Linked DNA regions of Macaca mulatta. The protein of the gene in region 3 interacts with the protein of the main gene of each other region in a pairwise test. Links are inferred from orthologs where the notes say so. Each region holds a gene or a part of one and is shown on either strand. Other genes may lie near its edges. The genes, in order: PNRC2, DEUP1, ESRRG and NR0B1.

Evidence for each region.
Region 1: the proteins of ESRRG (region 3) and PNRC2 interact in binary tests that used the Homo sapiens proteins (3 or more experiments, as listed by UniProt). The link is inferred for Macaca mulatta from reciprocal best matches to the Homo sapiens genes ESRRG and PNRC2.
Region 2: the proteins of ESRRG (region 3) and DEUP1 interact in binary tests that used the Homo sapiens proteins (3 or more experiments, as listed by UniProt). The two-hybrid records come from large-scale screens. The link is inferred for Macaca mulatta from reciprocal best matches to the Homo sapiens genes ESRRG and DEUP1.
Region 4: the proteins of ESRRG (region 3) and NR0B1 interact in binary tests that used the Homo sapiens proteins (3 or more experiments, as listed by UniProt). The link is inferred for Macaca mulatta from reciprocal best matches to the Homo sapiens genes ESRRG and NR0B1.

What each region holds. Positions count from the first base shown.
Region 1 is NC_133406.1:217,017,853-217,022,022, forward strand, and holds the start of PNRC2 (proline-rich nuclear receptor coactivator 2), read right to left. Parts: upstream 2,854-4,170; 5' UTR 2,683-2,853; intron 1,777-2,682; 5' UTR 1,571-1,776; intron 1,273-1,570; 5' UTR 1,255-1,272; coding exon 835-1,254; 3' UTR 1-834. UniProt on the Homo sapiens protein: Involved in nonsense-mediated mRNA decay (NMD) by acting as a bridge between the mRNA decapping complex and the NMD machinery. May act by targeting the NMD machinery to the P-body and recruiting the decapping machinery to aberrant mRNAs.
Region 2 is NC_133419.1:94,265,812-94,268,675, forward strand, and holds the end of DEUP1 (deuterosome assembly protein 1), read left to right. Parts: intron 1-1,908; coding exon 1,909-2,085; 3' UTR 2,086-2,322; downstream 2,323-2,864. UniProt on the Homo sapiens protein: Key structural component of the deuterosome, a structure that promotes de novo centriole amplification in multiciliated cells.
Region 3 is NC_133406.1:74,447,660-74,451,965, forward strand, and holds the start of ESRRG (estrogen-related receptor gamma), read right to left. Parts: upstream 2,857-4,306; 5' UTR 2,445-2,856; coding exon 2,389-2,444; intron 1-2,388. UniProt on the Homo sapiens protein: Orphan receptor that acts as a transcription activator in the absence of bound ligand. Binds specifically to an estrogen response element and activates reporter genes controlled by estrogen response elements.
Region 4 is NC_133426.1:30,164,181-30,168,435, forward strand, and holds the start of NR0B1 (nuclear receptor subfamily 0 group B member 1), read right to left. Parts: upstream 2,806-4,255; 5' UTR 2,796-2,805; coding exon 1,628-2,795; intron 1-1,627. UniProt on the Homo sapiens protein: Nuclear receptor that lacks a DNA-binding domain and acts as a corepressor that inhibits the transcriptional activity of other nuclear receptors through heterodimeric interactions.

The DNA.
Region 1 (4,170 bases), about 140 Mb from region 3:
TACTAAAATATTCCATTTTTGTAAGATAAAGGCCAATAAAACTTTACATATGCTACAAGTTTATTACAGATATGTACATGGCTCTTTCTCCCCTAGGTACTTAAAATTTTCACATTATCCAACTCCCCAAAGCAAGCTTTGCAGGAATGATGAGGCCAGATCACTATTAGAATAGCTTGTGCAGTGCTGTAATACAAAAATGTATTTTGAAAGCTATTGAGTGACCATTAAATACTGTTTCTATAAAAAATGGTTTTGGTGTATTTGTTGACACTTAATCCACTATATTTAATAAACAGGGCCATTGGGATGTACTATGTCTCATTCTAATGAGCTCCAAATGCCCTTTCCACCCACTGTACAATTCACTAAAATGCAATTATTACAAAAAATTCACATTTTCTTTCAGCAGTGCATCAGGTTGTTAGCATATTACTGGTTTGGGTGTTTCTAATATACTAAACTTTCAGATGTTTACCTAATTCTGAATCCTTGTGTTAGCTTGAAGCTTATAATCTGATTCACCAACTTTCAACAATCTACTCCATGAATGATAAATTACTATCTTCCCCTAACAATAGAAAAAGCTGATTCCTTTACCACTCCCCAAATCTAAACTTGGTTTCCACTTAAAAGTTACTCAGTTGAGAACACTTAATATCAAATACCATTAGTTTAAGTTGCACTGATACTACCATTGTATCACAGTGCACACAAGATCGTCTATTTTTTTTACATTAATTAGCAGTTCTACACAAATAGATTAATTCCTTAGCGAATGTTTCAGACCAATTGACAACTACCCGCGAACATAATTTTAACATTTGTCTTACTTTATACCTGTACTTTAAGTAAGGTTTTAAGTTGAAATGTCATTATTTCCTTATCTGAAGGATTAAAGGAAACAGGGACCCAGTGGCTTGGTGGTTTGGGAAGAACACTTGGTGATGGTGGCTCACTAAATTTGGCACCAGCATAGTTCTGATTAGCTTGAGATTTAAAAAGTAAGCTGGGACCTGATAAGCTAGAATTCCAACTCTGATTATTTGGAAAATTTTTGTTCTTCCCCCCACTTTGCATAGCCTGCCAAGCAGCTGCTGATGAGTTATAACCATGTCCTCTTTCTTTTTTCTTATGAACAATCTTCATCTGGGAATTCTGATCCTTGGTCTTCTGTCTGTTAAGCTGTTGTTGGTTCTTACTAACATTTCTAGATTGAGGGGCTGGAATGTTATACCGCTCTCCACCACCCATCTTCAGCTTCTTTGTCACCTACAAGTGAATGGAAACAAATATTGAGTAAAATTCCATTAAGTTCAAATCTGTAAAAAGCTTCTATGGCTCCAACTTATAACTCCAGATATTTTGAACAAGACTCAGTAATAGGCTATTCAGCTGCTTTAAATTAAAAAAGCAAGCTGTTTAGACTCCAATATATGCACAACCTTTATTATTATACCGTCTCTAAGAAAAATGAGCTTACCCACAAATCAGCATAATCTATTTTAAAATAAAAACAATTGGTTTAGGATGGCTCCATCATAAAATGTTTGCCCATTATGATGATTACCTTTCAGTCTGCTTTTCAGATTGCAGGATCTCCACTACCTGTCCTCTTCCTTGCTGCCAAGCCCAAGATAACAAGTGTTGCTTTCTGACAGATCCTTTCCTTTGTCTCAATACAGAAGTTTTCATGGGCCGATCTGCTGAGTTCAGCCTAGGAGCTGAGGCCAACATCTGAGTCTCCTCAGCACACAAGTTTGAGAGAAGTCCTAGCTAGAAAAGTAAAGATTACTTCATTATTTCAAAAACACGTTGAGAAAGTGATCATTTAGATTTACTACAAAAATCGTTGACTGTAAAGAAGGCTACTTCCTGAACTAAAAGGTAGAAAATTTAAGATGGCTTTGACCTCATAACCACGATCATTTAAAAACTCTTCACCCTTGAGACCCAGTCACTCCTGGGGAATTTTTGGAAATGTCTCGAAGTCCCGCAGTAAGTTTTGTTTTTATCTTTTTCCTGGGAAAGATCTTCAGATTCTCTCACGTATAAAATCAAATAACGAGTGTTAAAATGTTAAGAGTCATCAAAAAATTGGCTTCAGGCGGATTTTCAAAAGAGACCGTGTTTTTAAACTCCCACCAGAATTTTCCAATCTTTCCACACACGTCACATCCATTTTCAGTCTCTTGGAACATGTAGACATCACGCAGTGTTTCCTTTGGTTGTGAACACCCTCGCCTCCTCCCCGTCTTAAAATAAGTTCTCACAAGCCCTAACACTCTAAGCCCATCTTAAATCTATAAAAATGTCTCCCTAGAGGGAACAGCTCAACATTCAAGGTTTGGTTTTAATTTGATGTTCCAAGAAAATAAGTTACCAAATAGTTAAGCCCCCTCCTTTCAAAGGGGTAAGAGAGCCTTCCAAACAGATAAACCACCCTAAATAAATTGCCATTTCCGGACTGTGAGTCATTCACAACTCGAACTCGGAAAACTCGCCGCCTCCGACGCCACACAGGCTTGGCTTCCCAGTGGCCCCATCTCTCCGGAGCCGCAGGGGTCGGGGCGCTGCGACCGCCCGCGCCCGCCCGGATCTCGCCTCCGCTCGCCTCCTTCCCCCAACAATGGGGAGCGCAGCCACCAACATGGCCGCGCCCGCTGCACAGCCGCTACTTACCGACTTCAAGCTCGGAACTACGGCGGCAGTGGCTCCCTCTCGACGTCGAAGCCTCCCTCCCTTTCCAGGGAGAGACGAGGCACGGACCGACAAAGCCCACGAACACCGATGAGCGAGCTGCCGGTCACCCTAGCTTCTACAACCCAACCTCCTCCTTCTGCCTCTACCGACAAAATGGAGTCGGCGGCGACCGCAGAAGCAGGGCCGGGCGGCTCCGCGGCCAATCAAAACACGACAGCGCAGGCCTGGCCAATGAGAAGCGGGCCGCCGCCTGTTGCTGGGGCAGGCCGGGGGCGAAGGCGGGGAGGTGGGGCTGCCGAGGGTTTGAAATCCGCCCGGGGAGGAGGAGCATGCCGGGAGTAACTGCCCGGTCCGCCGGTGTTCACGGCCTTACCACCGCGGCCTCCCCGCGCCCCTGGCCCCCCAAGGCCCCGGCCGCTAGCTCTCGGCTCTTCCTCCCGCTCGGCTCGTGCGCGCGGGCTCGCTGCCCTTGGGACTGCCCTGAGGGAAAAGACTGACCGGCGGGGGACGTTTGGCTCTCGAATTAGGGCCACTGAGTCGCGTAGCCTGTATTGACAGATGGAGGATACTCCAGAAAGCCGCTTGCCAGGGCCCAGCCCCCGCCCGCCTCGGGCCTCGACTTCTGGGTCGCCTCTCTCCCACATTCACAACTCCGCATCCGAAGTCGGCGCGTCCCTGCGGTTCCCTCCGGTGCCCCCCACCCTCCAGCCCCGCAGTTACTCAAAAGTTGCCTCCGTGTGAAGGCGGTTCAGACACACGCGGGCAAGTCAGTCACTTCCTGCTTGGTGGCCCCATTGGCCCTTAAGTTCAGTTAGAGCCCTTAACGCGCCGTGTTACAGTTTCCTGTGGCAGCAGCTCTCCCCACCCACACACCCTCGAGGGCCACAACCGGTTAGGTTTTGTTTCTCTGACCGCAGCGCCTTCGCGCGTGGTAAGTGCACAGTAAGTTTGCTGAGAGAATGAGGGCTGCTCCCTTCCCCTTTTTGCCCCACTTGTAAGTGAAAAAAAGGAAAGAAAGAGAATATTGTTTAGTTGATTATGCCAGCCAGATGCAGGTAAGGGGAAAATGGCAATTTCTTTGGAGTACGTGTGTGAGCAACCCAGTGTGAATCTTTTAAAAGAGAACACTAATTTCAATGAGCGTGAATAATTCTGGGATAAACGGTACAAAATCAAGTCTCATTACATTCCCAGTTTGTTCGTGTATACACATGGATACATACATACGTAAGTTTACATTAAATAATTTGTATTTACCAACTTCTTATAAATCTCATGTAATTTGTCGTTTATTTTTGAAACGGAGTCTCGCACTGTCGCCCAGGCTGGAGTGCAGTGGCACAATCTCGGCTCACTGCAACCTGCGCCTCCTGGGCTCAAGCGATTCTCCTGCCTCAGCCTCCTGAGTAGCAGGGATTACAGGCGCCCGCCAACACACCCTGCTAATTTTTGTATTTTTAGTAGAGA
Region 2 (2,864 bases), on a different chromosome or scaffold from region 3:
GAAACCATGGTATTGGTATGATGCATAATTCCCACTGAGGTAGCCAAAGACAGAGGATGGATTAAATCATCCTACTTGCTGGATGCTCTGTCTCAACCAGGACTCAACAGCATGACGAGAATTGTCTTGCAAATAGTATATAGGTTTCGGCTACAGATGGCATAGTCTTGTTTCAAAATCTTAAGGGTCTGTGATACAGCTTTCCCACTGAAACTTTCCAGAGGCTCCACAACGCATTTTCCTCTACCAGAGATTCTTCCAGTATGGGATCTACCAAGTCATTTGACCAAAGTAGCAGGACTGCTTGTACCCTATCCTGAACCTACTACACAGCTCTTTCTTTCTAGAGTTCTGGGCTTGCTCAAAAAAAATTGTTTTCTGTGTTGCCCAATAAATGAATCTGATTATTCAATTATTTGATCCAAGGGTGGAACATTTTCAAGGTGCATTAATTTTTGCTTTACCTAGGATGTTCTGACATGCCCCATAGCAGCAGACACCTAAAAACAACGTGACAAGCCCCAATCTTTTACAGGGTTTATCTTTCACCCTCTGGCGTACTTGCATCTTTCCATCCCTTTAATATACTTGCTACTTCTTGCTCATCAAGTCTCATTAACATGATGTTAGTGTTAATATATGATGTTCCATGTGATAGTCTTTGGAATGTCCAGATGGGCTAGGCCCCTTCAGAATTTATTGTGACAGCTTCATTAATATAACATTGGGGCAAAACCATGGATAAATACTGTTGGCCACCCCATGTGAATGCTAACTGCTTCCTATCCTCCTTTTTATTAGATATTAAAAAGAATGCATTTGCTGATATTAAAAAGAAACCATTTGCCAGATCAATAGTAGCATACCATCTACCTCAGGCTGTGACAGTCTTCTCTAGCAGAGATACTATCCCTGACACAGCAGCTACAGTTGGGGGCTACTAGTTGGAAAAGTGTGCAGTACTCCATCATTTGCATGATCCCTAGTTTTGGCAGGGGCCAGATTGGTAAACAAAATCCACCTATAACAAGGTTCACATGTATACAGATTGTCAACTCCCCAAACACTACATAAAGTCCCATTTTTCCTACCAAAATGAAAGTCAAAGAAGAATATAGTAACCACAGAACTGGAAAATTAAAGTACAAATTTCCCCAACTAAAAAAAAAATTACTTAATTTTTGTATGTGGCTTTTTAAAATGAAGAATTGTAAAATTATCTGATGTTGTCCTTTATTCCTTAGCTACAGATTTTTATTTTTACTTTTTGTAACTAAGCACTAAACAGGTCACAAACAGTTAAATAGCATTTTCATGTCACCATGAAGGCTGGAATTGGGGCACTCATCCCTGATACTTTCTTCTCTATGATGAGACAAACAAGATACATGCCAGCATCACAGCCCTCCCTACTAGGGAGCCACCTCCACCCCAAGACACATCATGCAGCCAGCCTTCTCACCTGGCTAACTCCAAGCATTGATTCGCCCTGTCAAAGCCAATCCTTATTTTCTATATAAACCTTCTGGTGCAATTCCACTATAATCTTTACTTTCACTTTTTGAGTTGCCTATTTTCAAATGAAAATCACTGGCTTTGCAAATGATTGCAGCATGTTTTAGGCAGGTTCCATGGTGAGTGCATTGTCCCTGCATTTGCGGTTGGACAATCTAATACTCATTTCTAGAGCTTTTTAATGTAATGGTGCTGTGATGTCTTACTTAGTTCCTTGAAGATTTCATTACTGGTAACTGAATTACACTAGTAGTAGGAATTCAGCCCAAGATGTGTTCTTTAATTAAGAGCTGCAGTGTTTGACAGTATGTCAGGGATGAAGCATGCCTGGAAATGTGAAGATGTTTAAAAGCTCTGTATTCCTCATTCACTTTTCTTTCTTTCTCTCTTTAGTCTCCCCCAGATATGTCTTTCCCAGCATCTTTGGCTGCACAGCATTTCCTTCTGGAAGAAGAGAAACGAGCAAAAGAACTTGAAAAACTTCTAAATACACATATTGATGAACTGCAAAGACACACAGAATTTACTCTTAATAAATACTCCAAGCTAAAACAAAATAGACACATATGAGCTTTTAAACTTTTTTATTTGCTTCCCCCCCACCAAGAAAAAAAGCTCTGGCAAAATATTTACAAAGCTGATTAATGAAATCAAGAAATTCTGTTCTGTTTCCTTGAGTAAATAATTTTGGTAAGGCAGCTAGAAAATAGTAAGTATTTTGTTCAATAAAGCTGTTTGCATTTCTGCATAACATGCTAAATTGTCCTGCTGTAGAGTTACTATAAAATAAACATGACTATTCCAAAAGAGATTTTTTTTTCCAGTCTAAGGAATATGTTGGAATTAAATATGCAGTTTTTTCCTCACTTGAATCATGTATACTGAAAACCCATTTCCTCAGCAACTACACAAAATAAGGGAAAGGGAAGTGCTATATTCCAGATACAAACGACTCAAAGGCAGCTCAGTTGTACTGGTTTTGAAAACTCAAGGATTTTATAAATAAAAATATTTAAGTATTTCCAGTTATGTAAACACTCTAAAATTCTACAATTTTTTGAAAAAAAAAAAAAAAAGCTATAGCTTTACTGTTTTTACATTCACCTTTATAATGTCTGTCTGTTTCAACACAATGAAGGTACATGGAATGTGCAATTTACAAACCTAAACTATATGTGCCAAAAATTAACGCTTTTTTGTTAGTACTAATTACTTCACGGACACGAACAAGATAAAGGAAATATGAAGCATTACTGTTGCTACATTTTTCTTTGTAATCACCTCTGTTTTTAATGCAATGAAGGAATGTAAAATTCAATGGACTTGAAGCATAAATGCTAAATCTGTAT
Region 3 (4,306 bases):
CCTTGTCTGTTTTGGAGTGTTTCAGTTGCCTTTCCTTCTTCCAACAGCTGTGACAACTGTTAAAACAGTCAGTAAAATTAAGTCCGCTCTATAATCCTGTAGTCAATGTTACATTTTAATCAGAGGTTGAAAGGGATTCATGTGATGAGCACACTCATTTAGAATGATTAGACTGACACATATGTCAAAATGAGCAGATATATTATTTTCATCTATTTATGCTATCAGCTATTACTGCTATTAAATGTGAAACAAGCTTTCAAGTATTATGTTCTTTAATGTGCTGGCACATTTCCTAAAATAAAAAAATACATAGTTAGAGGTTAACATTTTAAGCTCTCTTAATGGTGGTCAATAAATTGTATGAATCTTTTTAACCACCTCCAAAGCAGAAACTGTCCAATATTTTCCTCTAAAACTGTGTAACTCTGGTTTCATTTCTGTGTATACACACACGTGATGGGGTTTAACCCAGTACAATTACTATGAATATTAATAGCATGTATAAATTCTGTGGTTTATTAATTGAGACAGAGAGGCAGATGCGTTGCTTAGCGTTAGATCTTTCTGTCTGTCCAGTGAACCACGTAACCATCAGAACTGCAGGCAGACAATAAATCTGTATTTTTTAAAGATGACTTTTAATTGAGCCCAAAAGAAAGCTAGTTTGAATCTTGCGCCAAAGCCAAAAGGACATGTGCCTTGATTTCATTTAAATGCATCTGCTTTAAGAGGCTTATCTAAACGAATTATTCAAATTAGCTATAAGAAGTTAAATTCAAGGAAACTACTTCAAAAAGAAGGCTCTGGGGGATTTTAAAAGTTTGTTTTCTTTATTTATTTACAAGACAAAGTTCAGAATCTGGGCGTGCTTGGATAAGACATTCTTCCTGACACGAGGACATCTTAAACTCTCCAATTCTACAGCCCGAAGTACACTAACCTTCAAACTACACTTGAATGGGCAGTCCTACCTTTGTTTATTTTTCATTTTTATTTTTACACATCTTAAAGTTGTTTCTTCCCTTGAGTGTTTCAAACTGATGCAAGCACAGCCTTATAATCTTTCAGTTCCTCCTAAATCCATCTCTTGGCTAATATTCCCTGTGTGAGCGTGGACGTGGGTGGATGTGCATGTGTGAGCGTGCATATACACACACACTCACACTCACGCTCAAACATACAGGAGCAGCCACTGAGACTGCAAGTCACTTTTCATCTCTTAATTACAAAGCAATGCAATATGCAGTCACTAAGGACAGCTAGTGGACATCTACCTATAATGCACTACCTCATCTTCTAGAGTTTGATATTTTCTTCACAATCTATAGAGAAAAATGTTTGCCAAGGGCACTCTTTTCAGAATTATAACAGTTGGTATTACTGTAATGTGAAAGCAAAGCAATATAACTGACTCAACAGAAAGGGAGATAAACCAGTGACAGCTCTGGTGATATACTAATATTTTATCTTAACAGTAGGTTGAAATTAAGTTTATGACCTACTCATTTACACAAAAATGCCTAATTTACTTCTCGTACCCCCTACGCACTCCCCTCCTTTAGTAATCTAAATATATATTTCCATGTGCATAAAGATATTCATAAATACTAATTAAACTGCATGTAAGAACGAAAGTACTTTTCTATATTTTCTGGACACAATAAATGAGACAAATCCACACTCTGAACAGAGTTTATTTAAGAGGAAAATTTTTAAGTCACTACTGTTTCTTCTTTAGTTTTTTTTCCCCCCCTTAAATATTTATAATGTGTGAAAATCTCATGTTACCTAATGGACTGATTTGTCAGTTAAGTGCTGACTTAACGCTAACCATGCAAATAACATTATTCTAGCTCAGAATTGCATAGGGCTAGTTTTTAAATTGTTCTCTGAAGGAGAATTAGTAAATGTGCAATTTTGCCTCTAACTCTGCGCGGTAAGAAATGACAAGGAGCTGAAAATATCTGTCAAACTGCAAATACATAAGAGGCACTCAATAGTATAAATCATTTTGAATATTGTATTTTAAAACATCTTTCCTTGGGAAAATGGGTCCTAGTAAAAGATGCATTTTAACAGTTCACTAAGCATTTGTGCCAAGTGCCTATTCTTAGCACCTGAATAAGAAGTGACTGTCACACAGCTGTTTTACTGACAGTCACTGAGCTTTGCCTCAAAGGTAACATTGTAGTCAGAGAACAATTCTCGACTTACTGAATTAGGAGATCACCCTCAACACAAAAGACACAGACAGACACAAACAAGCACTCGTGCACACAAAATACCCAGGGCATTACCTGAATCAGTGTGTAAAGATACAGTCTGTCCGCCCCCACCCCCGCACCCCCACGACGAGTTTAAAAAGGAAAGAAAAAAGGTACCTACTCTTCCTCGTAGTGCAGGGGAAAAGATTCAGGAAGGCAAAGTTCTACCGAATCCATGTGCGACCGGCAACCATTATTTGTGCACCCCAGCTATAAATCAAAGTTTCCTTGACAGAGCACAGTGCAATTAACACAAATGTTCTCCTAGTGACAAGCCTATAGGCACAGCCAGTTGGGACCAAAGCTCTCACACTCTCCTAATCAAGGACTTAAAGCCCCGATTGGAGCTTATTAATATGAAGTAGGGCTTTACATATGCAGTCCCACCGGCCCAGCCGCGCAGCCGATTGGGGGGCCTCTGCCCAATCAGGAGGGAGGCGACGGGAGGCTGCACGGAGCGAGAGGAGCCAGGCAGGTAGGCAGGGTGCAGAGAGCCGAAGGGGGCTGGAAACTGAGAGTGGGCAGAGAAAAAGGGAGCGGAGAAGGGAGCGGTTGAAACGCTCCCAATACACACTCTCGGGTTTGATTTTTTTTTTTCCTCCCTTCTCTCTCTCTCTCTCTTTTTTTTTTCTTCTGGGAAGCTACAAAAGAAACATAACTAACTTAACTCTCTAAGCACTGGAGGGATTTGCCTTTGATTTCTAACCTAAGATCTCTTTTGCCTTGAAAAGGAGAACTCACGCAGACTCTCAGTTAATTTGGGAAAGGATTCTGCGGAAGGTAGAGAATTAAGTTTGTCCTGCCGTTGTCTGTGTTTTGATTACACCGGGGGCTGCTGTTTATTTGGTGCTGTACTTTCTCATGTATTCCTAATCATGTCTTTTCCTGTTTTCCTGATGTATGCTGGGCATTAAAAATAATAATAATAAAGACATTCTTCTAAATTGTTTGAGCATGTGAACTGGGATCGTCATCTCTGAGGTGGAATGCAGTTTTACACAACTACAGAAGAGGAAACAGTGACAATACAATTTGAGAGAATGCCTAAGTAAATTATATGTGTAAACCTTTCTATACCTGCGACTGTCTCTTTACGTGTAGATACAACGCATAGCTTTTCAAAACAAAGGTAAACAACCGCAGGACAAATTGGCTTCTTCAGTTTTAGGGGTGGGGAGACTGAGGGTTGTGGGGGTAAATAGCGAATTAAATCTCTCTCAATGCATTTTGACAAAATAAAGAGAGCATTTTTTTTTTTTTTTTTTTGTAGGGAGAGCATTACTAAACAGTGCACTAAAAGTATTCTTAATTATTTGTATATATTTCAGTACAAGCTTCCAAACTAGGAGGCATATAATTATATATATGATTTTACCCAAAACATCCTGCTTTCAAATAAAACACCGTGTACATATTTGTTTCTATACATAAGGCACCCTATATGCTTTAAAAAAATAAACCCAGAAACATTTTATAAACCATCACACAGTCTGGTCACTATAAGAACTAGTTTCAAACAGATAATAATTTACAAAACTAAGAATTCTCAATCAAAAGTGTTCAAAAAATAAATAAATAAAAGGAGGATATAAGAGGACAAGTGTGTTTTTTCCTCCTTTAATTGTGTATACCGTGTCTTTAATTTCCATATAACAAAGAGTTTGCTTAGGTCCTATTTTAATCTACAGGATTTTTTTATACTAGCAAATGTACATTGGAATAGATACCAGCTATTTATGGCGAAGAGATAACTGCTACCTTATGGAGAGTGAAAAACCCACAATTTTGATATAATTCAGCTCTACTGCTTATCAACCTTTTATGTCTTAAGTCCTACATGATAGAAATAGGATAATCTTTGAGATCAAAATAAATTAGTTCAGATATTCATCGTGTGTTAAATTCACTAAATTAGGACTCAACTCCCTCAACCCTCTCAAATTTTCTAGGTCTTAAAAAAAACAAAACACTAAAATAGAGCAGCCACATTAAAATTCAGAATATAAAAATGACAGACATGATTTGGTCCCCCCACAGAA
Region 4 (4,255 bases), on a different chromosome or scaffold from region 3:
TGTCTGCAAATCTGCATTCATAATAAGGGTCACAGATGATTCTCAAGATACTTTGGAAAACAGTCTTCTTATTCCTTCAGCTAGTATTATTAATCATCCACTACGTTCCTTGTCCTGTTGGGATATAAAGGTGAAAGGGGCTCACCTTCCAGAAATTTACATTCCATTAGTTTCAGTATCAATAGTTTCCCTCTTTCCCTTGACCCTGTTTTATATACTTTTAACACACACACACACACACAGACACACACACACGCACACTTCTTCCTTGTTCTTGATTGACTTTTCCTAATCCTTTCTCAGTATGAGTTTAACCAGCTAAGCTGAGTGTGTTTGAAACTCAAATGTACCTATATTGGGGAGAAAGGTAACGCCTATTGAGACTGTGGCCTCTCTTTGCTGTTTGTCTTTTGTATATCCCATATAATAAATTTAAATATATTAAATATATATATTAAATATATTTATATATATTATGCACTCTCAAAAATGCTAGGCAGGGGGCCAGGACATAATCAGAGATTCCAGCACCAGGGAAAAGATACAAAAGGAGCATTATGGAAACTATCCCAACTCAAGTTGCCTGGAAAATTTTTTTCCACTTCAATCATTTCAAAAGGACGCTGGTTGAAGATGATTCTAGTAGAGAGAAACACCCAAGACAAGGTGCCTGGCTGTCCAGGGAGATGTTCCCCCAGTGATTTGGTTGCACCCTGTGGGACAGTGTGTCCTGCACCCAACAGACAACCTGAAAGTTTGGTGCAGCCGACATCCCACAGGGCCCAGAAGATAGGACCCTCAGGTGCCACAACACACCAGCCATTTACTTTGGAGTAAGGTCACTTGGGACCTTGGGATACATCCACCTACACAGTAAAATGCGGTGGGGGAAGGTTACAGAGCAAAGGGGGTTGATTAGGAGGTCTCTAAAGTCTCTTTGAATTCTAAAATACAGTGTTCCTGCTCTCAGTCCCTAAAGTGACTTTTTTTTTTTTTCTTATCCCTTTGCCAACCTGATATTCTTCACAGAGATTTGGAGGAAGGGATAGTCCAGATGCTTAGGACCATACAAATAACCATTCAGAGGCAGGCCTATGAAACACTACATCCAGTGTACTGTCTGACAGTGTCCCTAGGGAATAGTCTCTCTATGGGACCCTTTAACAAATGTTTCCTTTTTTGCTAGCCCTAATAGATCTCCTCCCCCCAAAAAAAGGTTCTAGTAAATTTCAGAATGGAGTTTCAGAAATCGATGTCGCAGAATCTTCAGTGAGCAAAAACTTTTAGAAAAAGATATGCTCTGGACTTCAAAGAAAGCTAAAGAAAGAATAACCATTTCCCATGAAGGCACAAACTTTTCTGTAGTAAGAAACGTGTAAAGAGCTAAGTACAAACCTAAACAAACAACTCCCCTCCTCTTGGCTGAGTTTCTGACAGCAGCCCACTCAGGAGAAGTGGTTCCTGGAGCCCCCCACCCCAACTCTGCTGAGTTAGTCATGATTTCTTCACCTTTGTCCCGACACTCTCCTGATCACTGAAAACTCCTTACTGCCCGCGCCCCTAGATAGGCACTGCCTGATGCTTTTGTGAGCTGGGAAAAGCCGGCGCCCAAGGCCAGTACCCTTACCCGGGTTAAAGAGCACGGTCCCCTTGAGGTAGGCGTACTCCTTGGTACTGATGTTCAGACTCCAGCACTTGGAAAGAAAGCACTTGATGGCTTGGACCTGGGAGGCGGAGGGCACCTTCCTGGCCTCCGCCGGCGGTGCCAAATGGGGCTGCAGCGTGGACACGGGCAGTGGCTCGTCGCCCCCGGTCTCCCGCCGCCTGGTGGTGAGGATCTTCTGCAGCATGCTGGGCTCCGAGACTTCTACAGTCTCGAACTGCAAGCGGTCCTGGGCCAGCTCAAGCATGAGCAGGGACGCCCAGCAGTTGCGCACCAGCACCAGCTGCTGGTCCAGGGGCAGCACCTGGAAGCAGGGCAAGTACTTGACAAAGCGCAGCGTCTTCAACAGGCCAGCTGAGGCTGCCTCGCAGACCACCTGTGGACTCTTGAGCGCCACTGGCCGCAGCGCACCAGAGGAGGTGTCCCACCAGGGGGCCCTCGGCCGCTCCCCCGGAGCCGCCTGCACTTGATTTGTGCTCGTGGGCATGCAGTAGAGGGTGCTGCCCTGCTGCGGGTGGTCTTCACCGCAAAAGCAGCAGCGGTACAGAAGCCCCATGGCCCGCCCGCCTGGTAGCGCCTCTCTACCCCCTGGCCTCTGCGCGAAGTAGGAGCGGTCCCACCACGCGCCCACTGGCCGTGCCTCGGGCGCTGCCGGAGCCACGTGCGTTTGCTTTGCGCTAGTGAGCAAGCTGTAGAGGATGCTGCCCTGCCGCGGGTGGTCTTCACCACAAAAGCAGCAGCGGTACAGGAGTGCCACGGGCCGCCCACCCGGAAGCCCCGCTCTGCCCACCCCGGGATCAGAGCCGCACGAACAGCCCCAGCACGGACCCAGCGTCGCCTCGGGCGCCTTCGGTGCCGCGTACGTTTGCTTTGCGCTCGTGAGCATGCTGTAGAGGATGCTGCCCTGCCGTGGGTGGTCTTTACCGCAAAAGCAGCAGCGGTACAGGAGCGACACGTTCCGCCCGCCCAGCAGCCCCTCTCTGCCCACCCCGGGCTCATCGCCGCACGAACAGCCCCAGCACTGATCCACCAGCCGCGTCTCTGGAGCCTCAGGAGCCGCGCGCGTTTGCTTCGCGCTCATAAGCATGTTGTAGAGGATGCTGCCCTGCCACTGGTGGTTCTCGCCCGCCATGGCCCGCGGCTCCTGCAGCCCGGTTCTGCCCAGTGGCTGCCTCCTGGGACCTATTTATACCTAGCGCGCACGCAGGCGCGTCGGCCGCCTCGGTCTGGGCAAGGGCGCGGAGGCGGGCAGGGGGGGCGCGGTGCTGCGCTCCGGTGTATTCGCCCATGACCTCGGTGGTTCGAAGGGGCGGGTGTTCTTTAAAAGCTGAAAATGGAAGAGGAACAGCAGCGTGGGAGCTCCTGGACACTTCCCTCCTTCTTCTCATTACCCCTTTCCCTGTCTCTCAGGAAGACCGGAGGAGAGCGAGCGCCTGGATGCTGTTGCAACTCTTTCCATTGAACCCTCGCATCTAATTTGTTCCCTTTATTGGGAGGGTAGGGGAAAAGAGGAAACATCTACTTCTATGCTCTTTGTAAACTTTCATTAAATTTTCACAGTTTGTGAGACTCATATTTGTATATGGATAGGGAGGTCTCATTTTCTGAGACCTTGAAAAATACAGAACATAGACAAACATCATATGGGAACTCGGTGGAAATGCCCAATGTCAGGCTCCAACCAGACTTTCTAACTCTGAATCTGCATTTTAACGGTGTCCCCAGGGATTCACATGCACCTTGACGTTTGAAAAGCACTGGTCTAAATATGCTAGCATAAGCGCTCAGTTTAATTCCATCAGTATTTATAAGCGCCCACTATGTCCTGGATGCTGTGTTAAGAGAGCTGGGGGCAGCGAGCAGGATGTAAAAGTGCCTAAAACTTAGGAATATAATAATCACGAGGGGATAATATTGTTACAGTGAGAATCGTTTTCATTTTAGTATATGGTTTGTTTTTTTTTTCTTTTAACTTTTAGGTTCAGGAGTATATGTCAGGGTTGTTATATAAGTCAATTGCTTGTCGCGGGGGTTTGGTGTACAGATTATTTCGTCACCCAGGTAATATAGTATTCAATAGGTATTTTTTCTCATTCTCTCCCTCTTCCCACCCTCCACCTTCAAGTAGGTTCCAGTGTCTGTTGTTCCCCTCCTAGTGTCCATGTGATCTCTTTATTTAGCTCCCACTTACAAGTGAGAACATGTGATAATTTGGTTTTCTGTTTCCGCGTTATTTCGCTAAGGATAATGGCCGCCAGCTCTCATTCTTTTTCATGGCTGCAGCGAGAAATTTTGATCCTTGTAAAAGTATTCCATTGGTAAGTGTGTAATTAGCATTTCTTTCCCCACCCTTCCTAAGTGAATCATGATAAATACAAGCATCAGGAAGCCTGGATCCATTGGTCTTCACTTGCCACACAGCTGTGAAGACATGGGGCAGGGAAGGGTATTGGTATATACCAGCTGGTGTAGAATCATTTTTACGTTTTCCCTCCCTCCCATCCTCCCTCTTTCTGTTTTTGCTTTTTTCCTTCCTTCCTTCCTTCCTTCCTTCCTTCCTTCCTTCCTTCCTTCCTTCCTTCCTTCCTTCCT